Caenorhabditis elegans: one gene and its partner. The protein of the gene in region 1 interacts with the protein of each later gene in a pairwise test. Each region holds a gene or a part of one and is shown on either strand. Other genes may lie near its edges.

The links.
Region 2: the proteins of pdl-1 (region 1) and prx-5 interact in a two-hybrid assay, tested with the Caenorhabditis elegans proteins (one large-scale study listed by BioGRID).

The regions. Positions count from the first base shown.
Region 1 is NC_003280.10:7,182,023-7,185,821, forward strand, and holds pdl-1 (Phosphodiesterase delta-like protein), read left to right. Parts: upstream 1-1,778; 5' UTR 1,779-1,802; coding exon 1,803-1,968; intron 1,969-1,987; exon of another isoform or gene 1,988-2,056; intron 2,057-2,253; coding exon 2,254-2,379; intron 2,380-2,396; exon of another isoform or gene 2,397-2,470; intron 2,471-2,479; coding exon 2,480-2,585; intron 2,586-3,055; coding exon 3,056-3,137; 3' UTR 3,138-3,272; downstream 3,273-3,799. Other genes in the region: C27H5.6 (G_PROTEIN_RECEP_F1_2 domain-containing protein), read right to left, coding at 3,345-3,410, 3,470-3,600.
Region 2 is NC_003280.10:8,703,246-8,707,315, reverse strand, and holds prx-5 (TPR_REGION domain-containing protein), read right to left. Parts: upstream 2,493-4,070; 5' UTR 2,492-2,492; coding exon 2,392-2,491; intron 2,343-2,391; coding exon 2,158-2,342; intron 2,110-2,157; coding exon 1,765-2,109; intron 1,717-1,764; coding exon 1,486-1,716; intron 1,341-1,485; coding exon 1,251-1,340; intron 1,199-1,250; coding exon 735-1,198; intron 689-734; coding exon 595-688; 3' UTR 556-594; downstream 1-555. Other genes in the region: Homeobox protein ceh-7, read left to right, coding at 3,487-3,684, 3,892-3,948.

The DNA.
Region 1 (3,799 bases):
ATTTGATTTCGATGCAATTGTTGCCCTTTGTATTTTGAAAGTATACTATTTTTGAAGAGAGAGGTAGAAAAATCTAAAGATAACATTGAAAAGTATTTTGTTAAGCAAACAACTTTCAATGTTTGAATGCTTGTTTTGTCACTTGGAGCTTGTATTTTGTAAATGTTTTCTGTAGTTTTGATTGAAAGCTTTTCCCATCTTCACAGACGATGTATTGCACAGTCTTATTTTCGGTAAAACTCAAAAACCCGAGGCAGAAACTTCAGGAGTTAAAAAATTAGACTTAAATATGTATAGAAGAAACATAGAACCTTTCGATTTGCTCGAACTCGAACTTCAAATTCTTTTTTTTTAACCTAGAAAATGTTAGAAAATGTTCGATGTAAACTGAATATGCACTGCACTTGTAACTGCATTTGTTGTGTGTGTGAATCACTTGGAAGTTCATGTAAATAACAGTATATAACTTCAAGGGTTATAAAAGGCACACCTTACATCAAAAATAATTTTCTTTTTTCCTGCTGTTGTGATTTTGCAATAAAATGCCCACATTTTCCAAACAAAAATGTTCTCAAAGTCTTAAACCCTGTTCATCAGCCACCTCGTGAATATACTTAACAATTCAAGTGACTCCATGACTCCGCCTACATTCGTTCCCTCATCTAGCTCACCGTTTTAACATTCAGACTTTTCTCATTTCCCTCCGATCGTCTTAAAATCCTTCTTCCTTTTTCTCTCCATTTCCGTCATTTTCGTCTTCTTTTTCCTTTTTTTTTCACAATTTTCCTTCTTCTTCTTCTTCTTCTTCTTCTTCAACTCAATAGAGCCTTTCCCTGTGTCTCTTTTTCTCCTTTCTGCCATCTTCACTTCTTTCGCATATTTCTCTATTTCTCTCATCCCAACGACGCGCTCTTTTCGGTTAATTTGGAGCTTTCTCCGTCCACCGCAGTCGGGGTTGAGCTGGGAGCAACGAGAAGGCCGTGAAAACATTGTGCCAGAGACTGCGCTTCCTCTAAAATTTCGTAAAAACTTTTTCACGCCTTTTCTATCACATCATCTCACCTCGTCTTGCCTCTTGAAATTGAATATGTTTTGGTCGACTTTTTAAATTTATTTATTTGCTTTCTTTCATACACACCAAAATTGTTTGGAAATTTTAATTACATGCAAAAATTTGCACATATTTTTTTGTTCTGTTTGTTTCAATTCCTACTTTCAATTTGTAGGTTATCTAAACGATACAAAATTTTCAGAATTACAAATAAGTTCAAATAATATTTTTTTAAAAATACATTTTCTGTTTAAACACTACAATCGACTATTTATGTAGATTTTCTGAAGAAAATTTTCTATTGCAATTTCTGCGTTATAAGTGCCCGACTTACTAGTCATAGCTTTATCTAGGGAATTATTGAAATAATATGATATTTCTCTAAATTATCACCTAATCCCATCCTGCTCAAACCACAGAACCGTCGAATTACGAAAAGAAATATATAAGCAGTAATATATAATTGTATGAATACGAGTTACTTCTCTTATTCTCTTCCCTTTTTCATAAAATGTAAGTGCCACTTATAACACGACTTCCTTTATGAATTCAATGATCTCCACGTGTTCTTTTTTTCATAATGACCACTCTTCGGGAACACTCATTTTTTATGCTCTTTTTCCGGCAATCGTCACTTTTCGTCAATATTGACTTTTCCTTGTTCCTAAGATGACCGGTTCCTCTTTCTTGTGCCTCGGTCTGTCGTCATTTCCTCAAAACATCACTTTCTTCAGAGAGTAGAGCTCCAGTCATGGCCACTACCGCTACTCGTCATCAAGATTCTAAATTGAGCGAAAAGGCAGAGAGCATTCTGGCTGGCTTCAAGCTCAACTGGATGAACTTGCGTGATGCAGAAACTGGAAAAGTTCTCTGGCAGAGCACAGAAGACATGGCTGACCCAAAAAGGGAACACAAAGGTAATAAGAATTTCAAAAAAAGTCTCGGAATAAACCAATCATCACAAACACTATGCCTGGGGCGGTAAGTAATATCGTCACTGACAACACGAGGGAACGAACGCGAGAGCGTCTCCCCCCAATGCGCGCGCACATCCACTGCGCCATTCTGCCACAGCTAGCAAGCAACACTGAGCGTGTAGTTAAGCCTTCACATGTCTTTTACCGCTGGTCTCTAATGCAATGCGTTTTTCCTACAAAAATAGAATTGCTTGAAGCCAACAAATAAAAACTAATGGATTGCAGCACACGTGCCAAAGAATCTTCTAAAATGTCGTACGGTGTCTCGTGAGATCAACTTCACTTCATCAGTCAAAATCGAAAAATTTCGACTCGAGCAACGCGTTTATTTGAAGGGAACCATCATTGAAGGTAAGATAGAATCACTCGAATATTCATTATGTTATTGCACGCAATGGATGAATAATATTGGCTTCTGGTGATGAAAACTAATTATGTATTCCGACTTCAGAGTGGTATTTCGATTTTGGATTTGTCATTCCTGATTCAACAAACACGTGGCAAAATATGATTGAGGCAGCTCCAGAATCACAAATGTTCCCACCATCTGTACTCAGGTAAGTAAAACAAGTGCAAAAGTACTAGATTTCTAAGCTTCAAAGCTTCACTTCAAGATACTAGAAACAGAAACATGCAAACCTTAATAGTTATTAGGTAAACATGACCGAGTATCGTAATCAAACATTTTTTATATCAGTCAGCGTTTTGGTAAATTGGCAAAAATTCAAAAATTGGGTTTTTGAGTAATTTCAAACATTGCTGTAGGATTTTACCAATACAGTGTTTTTTATAAAAATTAAAACAGACTTTCAATATTTGTACTGGTGAAAACTGAGTAATTACCGATAGTTTTTTTTTTGAGTTTTGAAACGTTTTAGTATTCTTTATGGTATGTAATTTTCGTACCACAGGAGATGCTGCACACCATCTTATATATAACTACTTAATCCTACTATAAAAATAACATTAAATTGTGTTCGAGGCCTTGACATTTCGAACGATTGAAAATACAATCTCAATTTTTCAGCGGAAACGTCGTCGTCGAGACTTTATTCTATGATGGAGATCTTCTTGTAAGCACGTCTCGAGTCCGTCTTTATTACGACTAATACATATACATTCATATCCATTTTTCCCTTCTAATCCTTCCCTGTTTCTCCATGGATCTCTCTTTTTTAATTCCTAAAACAATACATACCTAATTTTAATATTCAATTTCAGAATGAAAATCTTCAACGGATTTATTTATTCATCTATGTACATATGAATATATTTTACAAATTGAATAGCTCAGGAAAATTGTCCCAAAAATACATTTAGATTGCAGTGTTCACAAATGAAGCATTGACACGTGATAGCTTCTGGCGACTCATGTCGTTCGACTGAAAAATAGGAAGAACTGAAAATAATTGAAAAATGAAAGGACATGCATCAATCTTACCACAATTGTGTTTGTCCCGTTACGACGGAAACGGAGAAGTTCGTGGCACCGGCGACGGAATTCGAGACGGAAAAAGTAAAAGATGGGAAGGTTGAAACAAGATTGGAAACCATAGAGAAGATAGGCAACACCTGGAAACATTAACTATTTGAAAAAAATAATTTAAAGTTAATTCTTAATTAATTCTTAAGTTAATTAAGAATTAACTAGCTTTTCTTTCTAGTTTATATGTTATTATCTCATTATTCAAAGTGATATTGAAATGTTATTTCAGACTTCAATTTTAGTGTTTGACAGTTCATTTTGGTCAAGGCTTTGACAAGAGTTGAA
Region 2 (4,070 bases), 1.5 Mb from region 1:
AAAACTTGTGACTGTGCTCCTCTCAATTGGAGCTGTTTCTCTCGGATCTTCTTCTTCTTCAACCAGCTGTACCTTTTCATGATAAATGGCCATGTCATGTGCTTCAAAGACAGAAAGAGAAAAGGAAGAATGTGTTCGATGACCGGCAAATAGAAAAGAGTGAGACGTTTGGAAGAGGGTGGCGGAAAGATGATAATAAATAGAATCAGTCATATGTTCCGAGGTTTTACTCATGGAACGGTGACTCATGTGGAATTTCTGAGCATTTTGTAGAAATTCACCGTAAGAGAAATGATAGGATTTGATTACTTAGTGTCTAGAAGTCTTGAAGAATGTTATTTTAATTTAGGCATTATTCAATCATTTCATTGAGCTCTAACAATGTGAGTTCTACAAACAAAACAAAATGAGCTGAACACTTTTTGTGCTAGGTCGGTTTACTTCCTGCTTTCTTACCGCTGTAATAACATTTTATGACCCTTCCAAACTCGTGATCGGCTTGAAATTGAGATTTTCAAAATGAAAGTTTGAAAACCAAGTAAAAAAATTCGAGGAAAAATAATTATTTATTTTAGTATTTAAATTGTAATTATTCTAGACTAGAGAGGCTTTTACAGCTGCCAAATCTCGTCTTTCCACTGCTCTCAGTAAATTGTCAGGGACATTCGATGTTCGGATTGCTGCTGATCTGAAATTTGTGAAGGTGATTTTAACATATAAAGCTATAAACTAACCTCATAGTTGTCCAAATACCAGATGCATCATTTCCTCCTTTTTGCAATTCTAATGCAGATAAAAAATGTTTCAAAGCTTCATCATAAGATGATAATTGCATACAAGATATTCCCAAATTGTATCTTGCTCTGACATATGTTGGATACAATTTCAAAGCTTCTCGATATGCTGAAATGGCTTCAGCTGTGTGGTCACCATTGGCTAACGTAGCACCAAGACGATTCCAGAGACGAGCATCAGTTGGATTTTTGGAGATCGCCAACTTGAGAGAGTCGACAGCTCTTGCAAAATTGCGATTCAAGTTGTATAAAACTCCGAGAGCATTTTGAAGATCTGGATCTGGAGTTGCTCCTTGTTGCCGAGCAGCATCCAAGAATCTAGCCTCAACTCGATTAAAAGTGTCACTGTCCAGAAATGAAGAGTAGAGTGGAGGTGTGGTTGTCACTTGAGTCGAGTTTGAACCCTTAAAATATTTATTCGTGTGGGATTATTCTTGAAATAAAAATAAGAAATACCAAGTAAGAAGACATCCATTTATCCAATTGATGTAAAGCTTCATTTTCCATTCCTTCGTTCGCTTGACTGACAGACAAACCAAGAAGTGCCTGAAATAATTTTGATTTTATTGGAAGTTTTTTTTTTTTTTTCTTAATTTCTGTTCTTAAAAAGTTTTAAGAGACAGATATGAATTTTATCGCGACCTATCTATTTTATGGCATCAAATAATCAAATATTTTTCTCAAATTTTACCTCCTTGTTTCCAGCGTCAATCTGCAAACATTTTTGGAACGCTTGCATTGCTAACTGATCTTTTTCATTTTCAGCATGAGCCAATCCTAATTTACACCAGGCACGTGCATCCTGAGGATCTTTTTGAACTGCTGCTTCATAGGCAAGCATGGCATTTCCAATATCTCCATTTCTCATTAGATTGTCTCCTTCCATCAGTGGATCTGACATGGTTGTGAAAGGGTTTGCTTCCTGAATAGGAGGGTTATAAAAATGTGTTAAAGAAGACAAAAATCTTACCTGATAAACATAGTTTTCAGGACTTTGAAGAGATTCGTCCTTTTCCATATCTCTCTTAATTTCCTCCCATCTCTGTTCAAAAGCCTGTGCATCTTTCCAAGTGTTTTCCATTCCATAATTATCTTGTTGCTCCATAAAATCATCAGCCCAGTTTTGAGTCCCAGAAGATTTGGTTAAAGAAGTATCCACAGTATCCAGATATTCAGATGACCACATACCAGCATCTGTTATTGGTTGATGTGATGACGTGGATGTCATTGATGGAGCTTGAACTTGACGCCATGCAGATTCCATGCTTGGAGCACTAGATGTGTATTGTTGACTCCATTGACTCGCTAACTGGTTCTGAAGCAATCAATTGAAAATACCAATATATGAATGCATTAGAAATACCTGTCGCGGTTGAAACTCCTTTGTCCAATTTGCTGCCAAACTTGAGGATGCTGATGCCTGTGGTAAATTATTCTGCATCGACTTCATGCTGAAACTTGTTGGAGCCATTGTTCTCGCTTGTTGTCTTAAAAATTCATTAGCCATTTGTTCTCCCATAGAAGAAGATGGGAGAAGAGAAGCTGCAGCTAAAAACTTTTTTTTTTGTTAATTTTTACTTGAATATTTCCAGCTTACCATTACTCGGAGCGACTCTTTGATTGGATGTTCCAAATGTGTTAGCTAACCCGACAAGAGCATTCTGCTGTCCACATTGTCCTTCTACAACTCCTTTCATTCTGTAAAAAATTGAAGAATTCGAGAGTTAATTGTTGAAAAAAAGTAGAATTAAAAATGAAGAAAAATACAATTTACAAGAAATATATAAAATAAAGTGTGAATTTTGATTGAAAAAGAAAATAAGTGGGCCCCAGTGTAGTCTTTTCATCAAATTGATTGATACTACATTAGGATTTAGAGTGAAGGAGACGTAGTGATAAAAAGATAGTATTGTCTTATCAAAAAGGATACAATTGATGAAATTTAGATAAGGAACAACGGAGGTCGACTATCGATTTCTGAAATAACCGGGAAACGTTTATGGATTTTTTTTCCAAGTTTTCCTAGCAAGATTGAAAACGTAATAAAATAGAATACCTTATTGTAAGTTTCCAAATTTCAATCCTTCAATTAGATATTCTAGTTGCTAGTGGAGTTATCCTAGATCGTTTTAAATTAAGCAAAATGGATATTTTGCACTTGGTTTGATTTTCAACAACACGGGTTTCTGGCTCGACCCGTCGCCCCATTGCACACTTGCACGGGGGAAAAATATTTGATTGTGCAATAATAATAATAATTTTTCGTGTGCAAAAGACAAATTTTGCTCGAATGAAGTTGTGAATTTAAAGAGAGTTCCCCCATTATTCCATAGCTAGGATTGATGTCATCTGGATCAAAATTTCAAAGATATCGAAACTGGCAGGAAAAACATTATTAACCAAAAAAATGTCAAGACAACCTTATTCGTCGACTGCATACATTCAGTTTTTTCCCCTATTTTGACATATTCTGTATACCTATAGGTTTTGTAACTATAAAACATTCCTTGAATACTTTTTTGTATAATGTCATCATTATTATATTTTCTTTTATAAACAAGGCCTATTAAAATGTCCAATAAAACTACGAAGATATACACAAAAGGTGTGATTTTATAATGTATTCCCTATAATTTAAACGAAACGAAACGAAAACGGGCGGCCCCTTGTACTGACAATTGACGGCATAAATATGAAACACGAAATGGTCTTTACATTCTTACTGATGATGGTTAGACCAGAAGCTTCAACCTCCAGAATTCCACGTAGAAGAACCACATTTACAGTGGAACAACTATATTTACTCGAAATGTATTTTGCACAAAGTCAGTATGTTGGATGTGATGAAAGGGAAAGATTGGCAAGGATTTTGAGTCTAGATGAATATCAGGTTTCTATTGTTTTTAGAAATCTATTCTCTATTAAAATTGTTTGCGAAATTTATCCACCAGGCTGAGCTCCAGCAACTTCTACGTTAAGTCTAACATATCCGATTGTATGTTGTAAAGATGTGATTAGATCAATCTAGGAAAAAAATAAAAAATTTTTAAATCAGTTGTTATCATTCAATAATTTTCCGAGACGTAGCACATTACAGGTGAAGATTTGGTTCCAAAATCGTCGAATCCGGATGAGAAGAGAAGCCAATAAATAATAGTCAAATATTTATTTAATTTCATTTCACTGAAATAAATTTTGTAGTTAGAACCACTATTTCCAACATTGAAAACATCGCTTTACGGTTTTGAAAACTCCTCGAGAGCAAATTCCTGATCA